2 linked regions of the Nothobranchius furzeri genome follow. The protein of the gene in region 2 purifies or fractionates together with the protein of the main gene of each other region. This does not show direct contact. Links are inferred from orthologs where the notes say so. Each region holds a gene or a part of one and is shown on either strand. Other genes may lie near its edges. The genes, in order: patl1 and lsm1.

Region 1 (8,958 bases), on a different chromosome or scaffold from region 2:
ACACTGGGATCACTGGAGGGAATGGTCACAAGCTGTTATGGTAATTGGAAGGTTAATGCCTCAGATGTGACTCCTAATCTGGACTGACTGCAGAGTGAAACTGCATTATTTAATAGAGTTCACAGACTTCTGTTGCTCCTGATTTGAATAAATGATTTGGGTTTTTTTACCGGTTTGACTGATGAGATGAATCTAGACTAGCATGGTCCTGCTCTAGATCCCGAGAGTCTCCGATGTTTCAGCCTGGGATGAAAAACAGACAAACAAACAATTCAAATCTACAGATTAAAACGCTGCTCACAGATAAGCTTTGTGTTTTTTGACACATGTACATTTTAATAGGCTAAAACATGAGAAATTTAAAACACATAATTGTGGTTTAAGAACCTAACCGTTAAAGTCTGAAAAATAAAATAATAATATAATAATATTGTTTTAAAGTGGATTATTTATTGTCTAATGTTAATATAATAACATCATAAAAACGTGTCATAAACAAATGACCTCGGCCCTCACCACCTGTACACCCTCCACCTGGAGGCAACATACCTGTATGGGACTGTAACTGGTTTCTGATGAAGGTACTAATCCTGATGCAACACCAGGATGATTTAGAGCCACAAGTGCTTTGATGGAAATTTCAGCCACTCTTCTATTAGATTTAAATTTAAGCTTTAAGAGGCAATGTGTAGATTTTACCATTAACCTCTGGAAATATCCATTAAAATGTTGTTGAAAATGGATGAAACGATGCCCAGTTGTTGGGAAATACTGGCAGCTTCATAACATATAACCATAAAAATCAGGTCTAAAGCCTGATTTATACTTCTCCGTGAGCTCCGCAACAGAGAAACACACATGGGGTGTCGGAAAGGTTTTCACATTCGAACTTCTGTTCAGGCAGCAGAGTGTTACAAAGTAAGAAGTTTTGGGAAGAAGCCCATTGTTGGTGAAGAAATAAAATAAGAGAAGTTGATCGTTTTACAAATGAAGATATTATTATTTACAATTCTAAATTAAATGGGAATATTTCATCGTTAATTAACATTATTATTATTATTATGGGTAAATAATAACACACACACACACACACACACACACACACACATACACATTATACAAAAAGGAAATAGTGGTTGAACCAATAATGGGGTAAACATTTCTGAATGTAAACAACTACCTCTGCATAGAAATTGCACACACCTGCTGCTATATGTTTTGTATATTATTAGCGATATTTACCTGTTTAATATTATCTTATTGTTAGGGATGTTTTTTGTTTTGTTATTGTTGTGCATCTGCACTTTATGTAAATGTCTACGCATGGGACAGTGGGAAACGTAATTTCAATTCCTTGTATGGCAAGCACATTCGAAGAATTGACAAATAAAGTATTCTATTCTATTCTATTCTATTCTATTCTATTCTATTCTATTCTATTCTAAATACCACATCCACAAAAGCAAATGGAAAAAACAACTGCCAAACATGAACTGCATCATGAAGGAATTTCGTATGTTCTTATTCACTTTGACTCGTATAAAAAATTCAAATGTAATTGCAAAAGCCATTTGTCATGCTGCAGAAAAGTGTTTCATCTTGTAACACGGTTTTTACTTAGTGATATAAGTGCCTCTTTTTTAAGTTTCTTATTTGTTTTTCTTTTATTGTTACTAAGGATGCCTTGCATGTTTCCATTATGTGTTGTTGTCTCCACGAGAAACTGTAATAAGCATATGTTGATAATAACAAAAAAGAGTGTTACAAAGCAATTCCCCAGCAGGACAACAGAGGGCGTAGCGCTTTTCTGTGGTATCTTGCCACCATAACACTAACGTATCCAGTCCCCGATAGTGTATTTACTAATATGTTTATTTATTTCAGAGACTTTATAACAGGGCCAAATTTGTCCTTCATTCTCGTCCACCTCTTCATGCGAACGCCACCTCTAAACCCACATTTCCCATCGCTTCCGTCCACGTTTGCTCTGTATTTTGTACTCCTTCATTCATGGGTGAATAAATGTTGATAATTTTTGGACTTTTTCCGTGATGCGTTCTTCAATCTGTTCGAGGTCTGCTGCTAAATATTGGCTAAATATCTGGTTACTTTTTAACGAAGTTACAGCGGTGCTGATGACAAATATACAGGAAGCAGCGTCCTGACCAATCACAGGCTTGCAGTCTCCGTCACTTTCGACGGATGTTTAAAATTTTGGGCTTGTCTCCGTCACCCTCTGTGAGCCTGTCGGAGAGCCCTTGCGCCGACTTATAATGGTGCTGCGTGTCTCCGCATTGATGCAGACGGAGAAGTATAAATCAGGCCACACATGGGAGTGGGTCTAAGTCTCTGGGCGACGGCTTATTTGATGCAATGTGTCCTTCTACGGGAGCCCATGAGGACAAATTTCATTTACTGATTAGCAACAAGCGGTTACAAAACTTTTGTCATTCTTAAATGTTGTTTTACACATGTACATCTTCACTTGTTGCCAGTGATGAAAGAGTGTCTGAGGGTGACGGTGGCACAGGAGTTAAGTGCTCGCCCCGTAATCGGAAGGTTGCAGGTTCGAGCCCCGCTCAGTCTGTCGCTGTCGTTGTGTCCTTGGGCAAGACACTTAACCCACGTTGCCTGCTGGTGGTGGTCGGAGGGACCGGTGGCGCCAGAGCTCGGCAGCCTCGCCTCTGTCAGTGCGCCCCAGGGCAGCTGTGGCTACATCGTAGCTCATCCCCACCAGTGTGTGAATGTGTGTGTGAATGGGTGAATGACTGATTGTGTTGTAACGTGCCTTGGGGGGTTCCAGGACTCTAGAAGGTGCTATATCAAATAAAGGCCGTTTACCATTTACCATTTATTTTGCAAAAGTTTACACTCCCCAGGGCTTTTTGACCCTAATGGATATCCGTTGGCATGGTCTTACTCCAACACAAAAAAACTGCTTGCAACGATTTAGGTATCTACCGCCCCCTATCGCCAGGAAAAATACACACTGTCACTTTAAGTGTTTGTTATATAACACATTTATAATTACACTTTTTCAAGAGGTCATGTGATACTTTTTACCTAAAAGCTGAAATATCATTATTATGCATGATTTATAAAACAAGGATTTAAAATATTCTGCTTCCCAGACTCACCTGATGTTTGACAGCAATTCATTAATCTGCCTGTTTCGCTAAATGCATTTAGTTAACATAAATAATGAAAGGGGTCGAAAACAAAAACATTCAGAAAACAAAACCAGGCTCATATCAATAAAAACATATTTGTTTACCGTGTCTCTCCGTTTTCTGTGTTTACTGTCCTTCTTCCTGTTTTTCCAGCGTAGCCTCAACGTCACCAGCAGCCACGCAGTTACGTGCTCGTTCACTGTGCTGTCACGCGCTTAAGTGAAAGACGTCCCGTCCCCGCTGCGTCGTTTGCGCGCAGCTTCGCTCCTGATGCTCTCCTTTTCCCGACAACCTGAGGATCGATGTTTCGATTTCAGGTGAGCATTGGTCCGTGTAAGTGAGCCTGGACCCCACCAGAACCGGGAGGTTTGTGTGTATCGAATGTTCTCTTGTGGTTCTGGTCCGCGTGAGGCTTCTGGCCTTTGTTTATGCGGCTGCCAGACTTCAATGCGGTCTGCGGCCTGTGAAGCAGCCCGCTTTCCTGGTGACGTGAGCCGGAGGGACGGCTAGCCTCCCCGTCCTCTGTCGGCCCAGATAACCCGGCTGTGTGATTCGTATCGTGTTGCTGTACAGGGCCAGACTGCGGTCACTAACCCGACATGATTTTATTTGACAGATTTTCTACTGATGTGTTTTATGTGATGTAATGTCCAGGTTAGCACCGAAGCTAACTGGTCCTCGGGCTGTCTGCAGGATGTCTGAGGGTCGCGTGCAGCTTTTCTGCTTCACCGTGATTTAAGTTTAGATTATCAGTAAAGGAAACCCCCACTAGCTTCATTTACAGTCATCTTTAGTTCTGCATTTAGACTCTTAGCAAATGTAGAGCAAGAGTTGGGACTGGGTTATTCTAGACCCTTTGACTGATGAGATAAAATTAGGTAAAAAGGTGGTCTTAACAGGTACTTGTAAACTTTTCAATTCAAGTTTATTTATAAAGCGCCAAATCACGACAAGAGTTGTCTCAAGGCACTTCACATAATAAACATTCCAATTCAGGTCAGTTCATTAAGCCAATCAGAAAAAAGTTTCCTATATAAGGAACCCAGCGGGTCGCATCAAGTCACTGACTAGTGTCTGTGACTATACAGCAATCCTCATACTTAACAAGCATATAGCTACAGTGGAGAGGAAAACTCCTTTTTAACAGGAAGAAACCTCCAGAGGATCCTGGCTCGGTATAAGCAGCCATCCTCCACGACTCACTGGGAATGGAGAAGATCTAAAGTGGTTTCCTGTTCAGTCTGAGACTCTGAACCTTTCCTATTTAGGTCCTTATTATCTACAAAAATCAACAAACCTGTGCGGCAGCTCACCAGGCTCTGCAGCAGCCTGTTAATCACAGCAGATTCAAACCAGGTGTGTTTAAGCAGAGAAACAACTAAAACCTGCTGGATAGCGGCCCTCTAGGGCCAAGCCCCCCCCCAGTTCTACACCATGGAGCAACCAGCTTTTACTTTTTAACATAACAGAAACCTGATCTTGACTCAGTCCAGAGGTGGTGGTGACCTCTTTAGACTATCTGGGATTGACCAAACTCACTGGGAAAATGGGAATTACAACGGTCTTCCAAGTTTTTGTTGGAGGAATTGGACTCCATATGGACTGGAACCAAAGAAGAGGATCATCCAGACTGGTGTCAGCACCAGGTCCAAAACCCAGGTTCTGTAGTGGATGTGGACCTGTGTTCTGTAAGGGTACGGGTTTGGATCCGGGTATTTTGTCTTCATGTCTTCTGAATCGGGACTCTAACAAATTTTGCAGGACGAAATATTGTCCAACAAGTTATTGACAATAAATGATATTATTGTCGACGTTATCGAGATAACCACTAATGTAATGTTAATCATTCATATTAATGCAAGTACATCCTTTAAAATGCAACAATTAAGCCTTTAACTTCAGTGATATGTTTTCGGCAGTAATGAAACGTCTGAGCTCTGCCTGGTTCCTTTGAGGTCGTAGAGATCTACGTTATTGATTATAGACAATTTCTGAAAATACAGATCTCTAGCCTCCATCACGGTTTTATTCCTGTTAGGAAACCTTGTTGTTTTTTATCCATCTTCTTGACTCTTGTTCTGCTTCAACTTCATCTGCGCCGCGGCTTCCCCTAACATTAGGAGTCACATGGCGCTGGTTCTCCCACGCTCCGCTTGGCCTTGAGTCGGAAAGGGGTGTGTCTTCTCCTGGTCTGGGACTGAACAAGTATCTCGGATTCTCGTTCATGAGTGAGGAAAAGATGGAGCATGAGATCGACAGGCGGATTGGTGCGATGCAGTGATGTAGGCGTTGTACCGGTCTGTCGTGGCCAAAAGAGCAGAGCAAGAAGCCAAAGTTCTGGATTTCTTGGTCGATCTACGTTCCATGGTCGAAATGAGTTTTCTCCAGGGTGGCCGGGTTCTTCCTTAGAGCTAGAGAGGAGCCAGTTGAGGTGGCTTGAGCACCTGGTTAGGATGGCTCTTGGATGCCTCCTTGGTAAGGTTTTCTGGGCACGTCCAACCATGTGGAGACCTAAAGGAAGACCCAGGACACGCTGGAGGGACTGCGTTTTTCGACTGGCCAGGGAACACTTTGGGTTTCCCCCGGAGGATCTGGTCCACGTGGCTGGGGAGAGGGAAGTCTGGGCCTCCCTGCTTAAGCTGCTGCCCCCATGACCCGACCCCTTATAATGGGAAGAGATTGGATGGATGGATGGAGACATACGATTTGCTGTTGTGACCCTTGAAGGGACAAGCCAGAAGATATGAAAACTGTAAAATTACAACAAGCTGAATCGATTTTCTGAATATTTCGGCAAATAAACTGGAAATCATTTCAGGATTATTAGTTTTGAAAGTAATGAAGCTACTCGTGATTGTGTTTGGTCCCGTGTGCAGAGAAGATGTGCGTGTTTTCGTTGATTTAGCATTTTTTTATGTTTAGTTCGCATTCCTCCTGGTTCCTAACTCATCCGCTCTTCCTGTTTGCCCGGTCAGTCCCTGGATGACGACTGTACGCTGGAGGAGGAAGATGATGGACTAATAGAAGAGGAAGATGAAATAGATCAGTTCAACGATGACACCTTCGGAGCTGGCGCCATCGGTGAGTCTCACATGAAACATGCTGGAAGTTTTGATTTCATGTGATCTTTGCTGATCCGACACCATTTTGGTCGGAACCCTTTTTTAGGGTTTGGTGGTTTTATTGATATTTTTTATTATAAAAATCTTCCCTAAAAGCAGCTTTAGGAAGCTGACAAACTTCCATCTTTTCCTTCCTCCTCCAGATGATGACTGGCAGGAGGAACACAAGCGCCTGGCTGAGCTGGATGAGCGTGTTGGGTTAGGAGGAGGTGAGGTTGAAGGGGAGGTGGATTCAGGCGGGTCCAAGCCCGGGTCCTCCATCCACCGCCCCTCCTCTTCAGTAAACCCCCCCCTTCAGTCTTCCCTTCCTCCCTTCGGTTTCTCCTCGTCTTCCCCTGGGCTGCCACCACAAGGTTCGTGACGTCGTTGCCCAGTATTCATCACCTGGTTCTCGCTGAAATGTAATGTCTTTATGACGTCCTGTTTGAAACTCTTTCAGATGCAGACGACCGAGCCAGAGAAGGCGGACTGGCCGAGTCGCTGGCCCGACTCATCCTGGAGGCAGACCCGGCCATCGCTGGTGTGGGGGCAGCCGAGAGGCCCCGTCCATCTCCCAGCTCCTCAGCATCCAGCCTGTCAGTTCTGCACAGTCTGGATCAGCCCAGAGTCCTGCCGCAGTCCTCCTCCATCCCTCACCAGCGCCAACCCCAGCTGCCTCCAGGCCCCATCACTTCAGGTCAGCTTGACAGCATCAATCAGAATCCAGTTTGTCCTTCATGGTGGTGAAACGGGTCATAGAAAGAAGCTTTTATTACTCTGGAAACTGTTCCGTCCACGAGTCGCTGATTAGAGATGCACAAGCGCCAGAGGCACCTCTGCTGACGGGTGCATCTAGAAGTGGAGCTCACGCTGTCGCCGTCGCAGGTACACACAGGATCCAGAAATACCTGACCTAACAGACTCTCGTTGCTCCTCTGCAGGTCTTCCTTCCTCTTCGATGCTGAGCTACCAGCAGCAGCAGCAGCTGCTGCGGCGCGGCACCGCTCCCATGGGCCAGGTGAGTCCAGGTCACGGTGCGTCTGTGGGAACATCCTGAACTCCTTTAAGGTGTTGAATGTTTTGTATAGACACGTTTCTGTGTCATATCATCACAAAGCTGCTGGGAACAGGAAACGGGTCAGAACTAGGGTTGTCACGGTAACCGGTGTAGCGGTAAACCCGGTAAAAAAGTAGACAATAATAATAACCGTCTTGCTTTTTAAAAACTATATTATGTCGGTGGGTTAGCGTGGCTGCGGTGTAGGCGCGGTGACCCTTACCAGCCACCGTATCATCTGCTGAAGTTGCCGGCGGCACATGCGCACTTTGTTGTTTACAACCAAAACTTTCTTGAAGCTAAAGCTGAAATAATGGCCAAAGGAGGAGACGGCAGCGCTCAGGACATTTATTATCCCTCAAAGAAGACAAAGTGGGAAGTACGGGCATTTTTTGGATATCTGAAGAATGCCGAGGGACAGCTGATAGAAGACGGCTATCCTGTTTGCAGCGCGTGCAGAAAAAGTGTCTGTGAAAGGCAGCAACGCTTCAAATCTCATGACACATCTGCGTGACCATCACCCACAACTCTACAGTCAACGCAAGGCAAGCTAACGTTAGCGTTTTAGCTAAAATGCGTGATCCGAGGATTTGGGTTGAGGGAGAACGCAACGAGTCGCTATATAAAGCAGCCGCAGCGCCGCTACCTGCATATAAACCGTGTCGCGGACACCGCCATGTTGAAATGACGCTATGCATTACGGGGCTCCCAGGGGCAGATAAGAGTTGGTCTCTCTCCGAGAATAATTATGAATTTAACAACGATTACTGCCTGATGACATTTTCCCACATCTGCAAAGCTCACTGGAAGGACACAAACCGAGGACAATATTTTCCTGATATAGGGTTTATTACTCAAGTAAGGGTAAAAAAGTATCTGATTAGAAGGCTACTTGAGTACTGAGTATCATCTGATCTAATACTTTTAAAATGATGACATCAAACGGACATAAAATAAGAAGTTATGGGCAAATATTGGTATTTTAAAGACTGAAGGGGAAAATGTAAACAAATAAACAACATAATTACAGAATAACACATTTTAGGCAACATTTAGACACAAACTGAGGACAATATTTCCTGATATACAGGGTTTATTTAGTTGTGTGAAAATGTAACACGTTTAAAAAAACTACCGCGATAATACCGAAAACCGTGGTAATTTTGTTCACAACAACCGTGAGGTTAGATTTTCACACCGTCACAACTCTAGTCAGAACACAGGAAACTGTTGGCTAAACATGAAAACACAAGTTTATTTACAACAGAAACTCGAAGGAAATGAACAGAGCGGACCAGAATCTCCTCTGTGGGCCAGTTCGGGTCTAAAACACATAAAATCTTTAGAACCTCTTGTTTTGTTTTAATAAACTCTGTCAGCAGAACAAAGGGCTTGGACCCGTCTAAATGTTGGCTTGCTCTCGTTTTTCTCGGGTTTAAACGCGGAGTTTCTGGTTTAGATGATTTATTTCAGGCGGCTGGTGAAAAGAAGCATTTACAGGTGAAACTGATGAACGAGGAACCGCAGCCTTTAACGCGCTCATCCTGGTGGGTTCTGATGGAACGCGAGAACAGGATGAACCTCGTTTCTTTGTCACATCTTCTTGTCTTTAGATGAACTCTCACAACAT
Region 2 (8,751 bases):
TCACAACTAATATTGGTTTTCATTCTTGGGACTGGCTGATAATAGGATTTTTTTTTCTTTTCCGGGGATCTATCAATGGTAGTCTTCACTTTAGATGATAAGAACATGACTGCACCAAAGGGAGACCCGGGGGACCATTATCAGTGCTTCTTTCCTTTGATGTAAAGACGTTGAGTACAACACTAATAGGCCTGCTGCAGAAGGTGTTTCCCTTACTCTTATATAAACAACAGTGTAATAAATTTCCTGAAATTTTATTCTGGATTTTCGTTTAGGTGGGCCCCATCACCCCCAACTTGTTGAAAGGTTTTTGCAACAGTGCCTCTCTAAACTTCCCCAATTCATCTCCACATTGCTGGAAGAAAACAGTGTTTCCAAATCAGGAGAATATAATCACACACACACACACACACACACACACACACACACACACACACACACACACACACACACACACACACACACACACACACACACACACACACACACACACACACACACACTATTTTCAACCCTATCTGCATAATTAAATGTAAAGAAAGTTGAACATTTCTATAAGTTTAGAAATAATTTTTGTTAAATTCTTTATTATTTTCAGTTTTGATCCAGTCATGATTTCTATTTTTACTGAATTCAGGTGGAACTTTATGCAAATCAGGTCTGACATGAACCTTCTAACAAACATGGGATCGTTGATCACCCTACCACCACGAATGGCAGCAGAAACCTGCAGAGTCTGACTCCAGATAATAAGCAAACTCTTCCACTAGAACAGGACATCAGCGATGCTGCCATCAGCTGCATGTGGCCTTCAGACATTTGACTCCCCCTCCTCGTGTGTGTGCCTCTCTTTTGCAGGGGCCCCTCTTGCATAGATTTTAGCAGCAGTCACGTCATCAGCTCACTGTCCAAATGCCAGCCAGCCTCCCCTCGTGCGTCCCCTCTCTGGGGGAGTTTATTCCCTGCCTTGTGTGCGCTTCAGCATTCAGAATGTTGCGAAAGAGCCGCCTTCGTTTGCACAGACAGCGAAAGCGGATGTGGGAGGCAGACCCTCCCCTCACATCTGCGGGGAAACGATCTGTCAAAATTAGCGAGGATAAAACAATGACAGACATGTTTTGGGAGGATTTCGTTGTTAACGAGCTGAACTGTGATCCGCCGCTGCTGTGATGTCTTACATAAGACCCTCTCTGTTTTCTGTTGCATCTGCCGGATTTACCTGAGCCGCACAATCCGCAGGCTGCCGTTATCCCTGCGATCATTCCCACTTTTTCTGCATGCAGAGCGCAAAATGTCACAAAGCAGGGGCCCTGTCTGCCATTCGCACAGAGTTGAGTTTATACCATTCCACTTACCCTCTCTCGCTTTTAGCAGTACAGTGTTGGCTACTATGTTCTCCAGCTCCATGAAAAGCTGAAAAATCCTGAATGCAGAGGGTTTTTTTTCGGTACTCGAGCGTCTGCAGCGAGAACAGCGTCCTTTCCTGCTGGCACGGCGCGATCTCCTCGATTTCACTCCTCGACGATATCCGAGCAAATTTCACTCCTATCAAAGTCGTAAAGGATAAAACAGGATGTCATAGATTTGCTTGCAGTGTAAATTGGGCATGGTTCTTGTTGTGGGCTGGAAGTACGGCGCTGCATTTCGACTCCAATTCCCCAAAAACCGTTCCATGCGTGGTTTGGATGCCAGATCTCTCCGATGCAGAAAAGCATTAACTTGGAGGAATCCGATGTTGATGAAACCGGGTTGATCTGAGGAGATCCTTCACTCGGATACAGCAGGAGAGCAACAGCGGCGGCAGGGGTTGGCTGAGTGCACCAGAGAGGACACCAGAGCGCCCCCTCCTCCGGAGTTGGTGCGTAATCAGGCTGGGCCTAAATTACACAGAAGCGTCAAGACGCACTGATTAACGCCACCGGAACGTTTCACCAAAATAAAAGCTCTGCGACTATTGTGACTTATCTGGCTCCTGATCTCTCCCTCACCCCTCAATAAGGTCACATGGGCTGGTGTCTACCTCCAGCAGTCATGAGAAACCGGGGGACACCTTGGACAGGTCTCCAGTCCATCACTAAGCCACACAGGGAGACCAACCAGTGACATTCACTAACAACTACGGATAAATTAGTTTATTATTATTTTTTTAACATGCGTGTCTTTGGTCTGTGGGAGGACAACACGAGCACCCGAAGAAAACACATGCATTCACGGGGAAAACATGCAAACTCCACACTGAAAGGCTGCAAAGGGGGATTCAACCAGTCAACCTTCTTGCTGTTACCAACTGCACCACCATGTGGCCCACATCTGGATCTCGGAAATTTAAAAAGCATAAACTACCCAAAAATAACAGATATTAACAAATTATTTTTGGCAAGCCATGCAGCATCTTTACAGTTCCTATTGCAGGACTGTGTATATGTGAAAATACTTAATAACCCTGGAGTGATTTTTGCACATGATCTACTTTAGCATAATTCTGCCATTAGTACAAGACCACTCATATGACAGCTTGGCTAAGTTGATATTTAGCAGCTTTTAAAATAACTATATTTTGCATCTCGTGTTGATTTTTGTTTGGAAAAACTACCCTGGGGAGAGTTTGGCAAACCCAGTCATTTGTAAATGCAGCCATTGCTTTTCCATAAGCTGCAGTCTGCATAAGGGCTAAAGCTCAAGTGTACATTCATGACACAAACCCATTTTGATTTAAAGAGAGCAGCTTTAGAATGGGCATCTAAGTCATTCAGACCTGGCAGAAAAATAAATCTATACAAATGCAGCCTTTCCAAATAATATAAAAAACTTTTAATTCAGCAAGAGCCAAAAATCATCTGTGTTAAAACTAAATAGGACCTATCAGCTTAGCTATGCTCAAATAAATTTTAATAAATATTTAAAGCTGCATTAATTAAAACCAGTTGCCAGCTACTATAATTGTGTTCATGTTTAAACCTTTTTTCTTAAAACACAACATTACTACGAAGGTTAAAATGTGTTACTGATAAGAATGCTCTTGAAATGGTATTTCTGTTTTTTTAAAGTGCATTTTAGTTAAAAGGTTGTGAACAATTAACATCTTGCATGTTGTCTTTAAACAACCTCAGTTTGGAAAAACGCAGAGCGCCTCCTATAGAAAGAACATGCCAATGGCTGGTCTGAAAAGGGCCGGTTGCGAAGCATTCCTGCTGTCTTAAGTTAATACTCATATTAAAACATTAGGGGTTTATAAAAGCATTATTTAGTTCACTTTTTACATAGAACTCGGTTATTTGCAGCAGAAATTAGCTGTGTGGCTCTAGCACCATAAGCTGGGATGTCATAACTCTACCAGAATAACTGTGTGTGAAAATTACAGTGGTGAAAGCGATTAAATATCATCTCCAAAAGTGCTTTAAAGTGTTGGAGACAAATGGTTTTAAGATGCTCTGCAGCCCTGTTTAGTCAAGCCGTTAACTCGTCTGTTTAATCAGAACTAATCTGTTTCTCCAAGAGAACAAGAAATCAACTCTTCCACATAATCCCACTTTCCAAGATGGTGTAAAGCCTTACGGGGAAGAGTTTTATTTTGAAAGCAGACAGGAAATCACAGTTCTAAGAATAAAAAGCTTGATCTCACATTAAACTCAAATTTTCCTCCTGTTCTCTACTGTTTAATAAAAGAACCAGATGAAGTTTAGAGTAGATGCTGATGCAACAGAAGCTGCTCCCTGCCCGTTGCATCATCATCATCCATCCAGACTTATAGGGACTGATGAAGCCTAATAGGATCGATTTCTCCAACCCGTCCTCTCTACAACAGGAAGCTGTCCGATGCACTGATATGCTTCAACTCAATTATCCAAATGAAATCTGCCTCTAGTGAGTACATGGAACAAGAGAACAGCCATGCTGAATCTGACGGTAATGCTGGTGGGGTTGGGTTCTTGCAGGGGGTTTCAGGGATTTTTATTTCTTTCCACAAGCATATGCTCCATAAATACAAACTAAAATCTTTATTGGTGGAAAGTAATGTTTGTCAAAAGCAGACTCACAAATCTCCACAACAGAAGACATCATAGCAAAATAATATAATCACAAAGTGTTTCTGTGAAAGGATTACCAACATAATGATCATGATCCAATACCATTTAATGCGCTGACATGAATTACCAAAAAATAAAACAGCAGATCATCTTTTCCTTTTAAAACAAAATATTCAATACTAAATGAAAATTAAATGATGCCGTCTTTAGCCAACTGGGAATTAAAAGACAAAAACACTAATTTCCAACGTAAATGTAGCAGTCTGATACAAACTGAGAAAGACGCTCGTGAAAAATGGCGACATCAGTACTCGTCCATGTTATCCGCTTTGGGAATGGAAAGGCCTCGGTCCTTTAGCACCTGCATTTTGACCTTCTCCGTCTCCTGCTTGGTTTGCTGCTGCTGTCGCTGCTCCTCCAGGATCTCCTCGATGGAGACCTGCTGCAAGACCGTGTCACAGGGTTTATCCACATCCTGCAGGGATGCAGACACATCCAAGGTCAAACAGCAAACTCAAAGCCAAATTGTGGCTAAGTGATACTAAATGTTCTGGCAGGCTTGCATCCCTCACATGGTTCAAACTTCCACTCTTGTACTAGTCTGAGTTGTGATGGCTAGTTGTTTAAGTGAAGAGCAGCAAACCTGTCATATAGAGGGAATCACTGCCTAACAGCTTATTTTCAGCTATTTAAATTGAAAATAAATTAGTAATGAGTGATAAGTGAGTAACAGGACATAACTTAATTCTTCCATGAAGCTCAAAGCGATGAGAACATCTTGCAAAGCAAAATTAAGATGCCCATCCTTACATACATGTTGGTAACAAGAAGTGTCACTGTGTGCTGTAGACGCTCCACCAGTACAGGCTGTACTGGTGTCAGTGCAGATTTGCATGATGTACATTTGTAGAGCGAGATAAGTTGGAGATCATGAGTCACGCTTGTTCTGTGTGCTGGCCTAGAAGGTCCTCAGCCCCTGGAATGGGTCACTGCAAAGATCAGCTCAAGAATCTCTCTCACAAGTTAAACTTCATAACCCTAAATTACACCAGGAGAGTAAAAAAAAAATTACTCACAAAAAGATAAATATAGAAATCAGCTGTGAAAATAATGGATAAAGTAGTAAAATTCAATCATAGACGCTACATAAACGGTTATATTTTTAATTGGCCCCTCTGCAATGAATATTTCGTTTAAAACAAAATCAAAATCTGTTCACTGGAGGTAAAACCCCAAGATAGCTTTCCCATAAGTCCGCTCATACCGAGATTACCACCCACCCCCCCTCAACTAAACATTACTGAGCTTTAAATCCTTAAAACAGCACCTGTATCATTAAGTAGTGATAATAGTTTCTCTGCATTACCTAAAAATATGCATATGAGCCATTTATCTTTAAGTCTTCACCCATTACATCAGCCTGCCAAGGAGCGCAGATTTTAATCAAATTACAATACTGGGGAAAAGTTCAAGTAAAGTAAGAGTAAAATACAGATGTCAAATAGTGCATTGTCCTTTTTTGTCAAAGTTTACCAAGCACTGTAATCAAAACAGCATGTGACTTTAAAAATAAATATATTCTCCCGTTTATTAAATTTGGCTCTAGAAGAAATTTGCAAAGCTTCATTTCTGAGATCAAGTCAAACTATTCAGAAAAAGACCCATTTAAGCACAGATCTCCCTACAAGGTTTCCATAGCGTCTGAGGAGGAAATGCTTATTGCAGTTCTTTATTTTCTCCACACTACAGCACTGTTGCACCCATCCATCCGTTATCAGTACCTGCTTGTCCATGCAGGGTGGTGGAGAGCACTGTTGCATCTGTCCATTTACTCTGGGTAGGAACGGTGTCTGTGTGAATCACTTCAGCTAACCAAAGCCAGCTCAGCAGTCTGCTGCTGTGCAGCAATGTAAAACTCTATAATCTAGTTTAAAGTGTGTGATGAGGATAATTCTGCTGAGTAAGCGCTGGACTTCATCATGAGATCTAAATACGATCCCGACTGTCCACCGCAGGTAAGACGCCAACTACTCATTAGCTGCTTGGCAGAAAATTACTTGGAAAAAAATCTGAATTTTTCCCAGTTAAACAGAAAAATGTGCCCTGAATAATATAAGACATAATATAAGCAGGTAGCTTATTTAATACTACTAAAACAGACCTTAAAGGGCCAGTTCTCATCTTTTTAAGTGGGACGGATGTGGAAAAGTTGTAGACCGCTGATATCCAACTTATTGACTGTAGCTCATAGAATTGCTTTGGTTCGGAGAAACTGATTAGTTATGATTGAGCATTAAAGTGAAAAAAAAAAGTCACAAATTCTCATCTTCAAAATTTCTCAGCATATTAAAAAGTGAACATTCCCTTAAATGTGTGTTTATTCCAGCAGAATCATAATAAAATTCCAGCCAAAAAAATGTTACAATAGCTGGAGATGCAGTTCATTTCTGTTAATTTCCCACAGAAATGCTCCAAGAGGTGCCGTGCATTTAACAAAATAGAAGTTGCATGGAATACTATAAAATATTTTGGGTTTGGTTAATTTGGCAAAAACACTTTGTGACCCCACTCGGACTAGCCATAAGCGTGTGTTACTCCGTCGAAAACAACATTTTTCTCCAAGCTGTGGCTGTTCCAAACACCACCTTTAACTTCTCATACGTCATCACGTGCACTCTGTGTGAGGTATAACTCAAAGTAAAAATTAAGGAAGAATGTTTATGCAGAAATAAAGAATGTCTTCTTAATTCATTTCCATTTGCTGACCCCATTTTGGGATAGGGACATAATAAATGAAGTATAAAAGATCTAAATAAAAATATCTCAGATTTTAAAAAATGAGCTTACTATCTCTCCAAGCAGAACTACATTTTCTCCTCTGACGATGAAGATGCCTCTGGGGATGTCACCAAACTTTTTCCCCACGTGGATCCTCTCTACGGTCTGGTGAAACACCAGATTGGCTGAAGAACAGAAGCAGAAAATCAGTTGAAATGAAATATAAGGTGCGGAGATCATCAGCTGACCGATTAATTAGAAATGCTTCCATCTGTATTGACGCGGAGTTAGAAAACAAAGTGGACTTTTAAAAATAAGAGTACCAAACTGGTCGATGCTTCTGAGGTAACCAATCAGCGTCCTGCCATCTCGGAGCAGCACCAGGTGCTTTTCTGCAGGAGGAAAACAAAACATGAACGTTAGATATGCGTTTTACTCGCTTGTGTACGTAAATATCGAGACTCAAACATTTTCTACTAAACCATGTCAACAACTACAAAATTCAGCTTCTGTCTTACTGTCAATGTCGTCAATAAGGCTTGCAGTCCCCGGTACGTAATTCATATTGGTCTTTAGGTTTTCTCCGTTTTAATATCCCTGTGTTCCGTCAAGCCATGAATGTTTTAAAATGTTTATTGAACAAGACCACAGGAAGTGTCTTTATACATGCTCACGGTGAACTTCCTGTAAACGTTTAACCCGTTCTTCTTTTTTGGTGGTTTTTGGCTGTTGGCAAATGTTTGACTACCGCCACCTTCTGGCGTGGAGTGTTACAGACGGTGCATGCGTGCACATACCATGCATTATACTCCCTAAATAATAATAATAATAATAATAATAATAATAATAATAATAATAATAATAATAATAATAATAATATAATGGTAATATTATTATTATTATTATTTGGATTCAATCTCTTCAAATAATAAAAAGGCTGTAAAAACAAAAGACGTAGTTGATACATTTAAACTGTAAAATGTATTTTCTTCTTTCTTTTCCCTTGCGTTTTATAATAAGTTAATAAATTTATAAGTATACTTACCTCACTCTTGATTGTTCTGTAAAATTCACTTTAATTTTGATGTATAGGTGATGGGAAATTGTAAAAGCAAATTTTGTATACTCTTCCTCCTCTATCTGCTTCCTCTTCAGCACATCCTGAGCTCCTTCAAAGGAATCTCCATACCATCTTTATGCAGATGACATCCAACTGTACATCTCCTTTGAGCCCCATGAGATGTCTAAGCTGCAGCTGTTACACACCTGCTTAGACTCTATCAAAACCTGGATGGCTGGGAGCTTTCTTCAACTGAATGAAGATAAGACTGAGATCCTCATCTGCGCCCCAGACAAGCTGGTTCCCAAAGTCAGAGACTCTCTTGGTCAGCTTGCTTCCCACACCAAACCTTCTGTCAGGAATCTTGGCGTGACCTTTGACCCAGCTCTCACCCTGGATTCTCATGTCAGTTCTCTTGTTCGCTCTTCCTTCTTCCATCTCAGGAACATTGCTAAGCTGAGTCCCATTCTGTCTCCGTCTGAACTTGAGACAGTTCTCCACACCTTCATCTCCTCACGCATTGACTACTGTAACTCTCTTTTCACGTGTCTGAGCAGAACCTCCCTGAACCGTCTACAGGTGATTCAGAATGCCTGTGCTCGGCTTCTGAGAAAGTCCTCCAAATACACCCACATCACCCCGCTTCTCCTCCAGCTTCACTGGCAGCCAGTCAACTTCAGGGTTCATTTCAAGATCCTGGTTCTGGTCTATAGGGCCTTACATGGACAAGTGTGACGCCCACAAAGTGTGGTCACATACTTTTGTTAAAACATTTAGTGGTGTAATTTAGTAAAAGTAATAAAATAAGAATAGGAAAGTGTGGGGTGCAATACCGGGGTTCTCCACAAGGTGGCGGGGGGATGCGAGACGGCTAGTGGAGCTCTG

Evidence for each region.
Region 1: the proteins of lsm1 (region 2) and patl1 purify together in Homo sapiens (co-immunoprecipitation; 3 studies listed by BioGRID and IntAct, with this or other methods). This does not show direct contact. The link is inferred for Nothobranchius furzeri from reciprocal best matches to the Homo sapiens genes LSM1 and PATL1.

What each region holds. Positions count from the first base shown.
Region 1 is NC_091746.1:29,997,274-30,006,231, forward strand, and holds the start of patl1 (protein PAT1 homolog 1), read left to right. Parts: upstream 1-3,353; 5' UTR 3,354-3,472; coding exon 3,473-3,487; intron 3,488-6,145; coding exon 6,146-6,251; intron 6,252-6,435; coding exon 6,436-6,645; intron 6,646-6,731; coding exon 6,732-6,968; intron 6,969-7,212; coding exon 7,213-7,289; intron 7,290-8,941; coding exon 8,942-8,958. UniProt on the Homo sapiens protein: RNA-binding protein involved in deadenylation-dependent decapping of mRNAs, leading to the degradation of mRNAs. Acts as a scaffold protein that connects deadenylation and decapping machinery.
Region 2 is NC_091757.1:36,764,505-36,773,255, forward strand, and holds lsm1 (U6 snRNA-associated Sm-like protein LSm1), read right to left. Parts: upstream 7,502-8,751; 5' UTR 7,371-7,501; coding exon 7,325-7,370; intron 7,199-7,324; coding exon 7,130-7,198; intron 6,992-7,129; coding exon 6,876-6,991; intron 4,504-6,875; coding exon 4,333-4,503; 3' UTR 3,984-4,332; downstream 1-3,983. Other genes in the region: grk5l (G protein-coupled receptor kinase 5), read right to left, coding at 1,356-1,407. UniProt on the Homo sapiens protein: Plays a role in the degradation of histone mRNAs, the only eukaryotic mRNAs that are not polyadenylated. Probably also part of an LSm subunits-containing complex involved in the general process of mRNA degradation.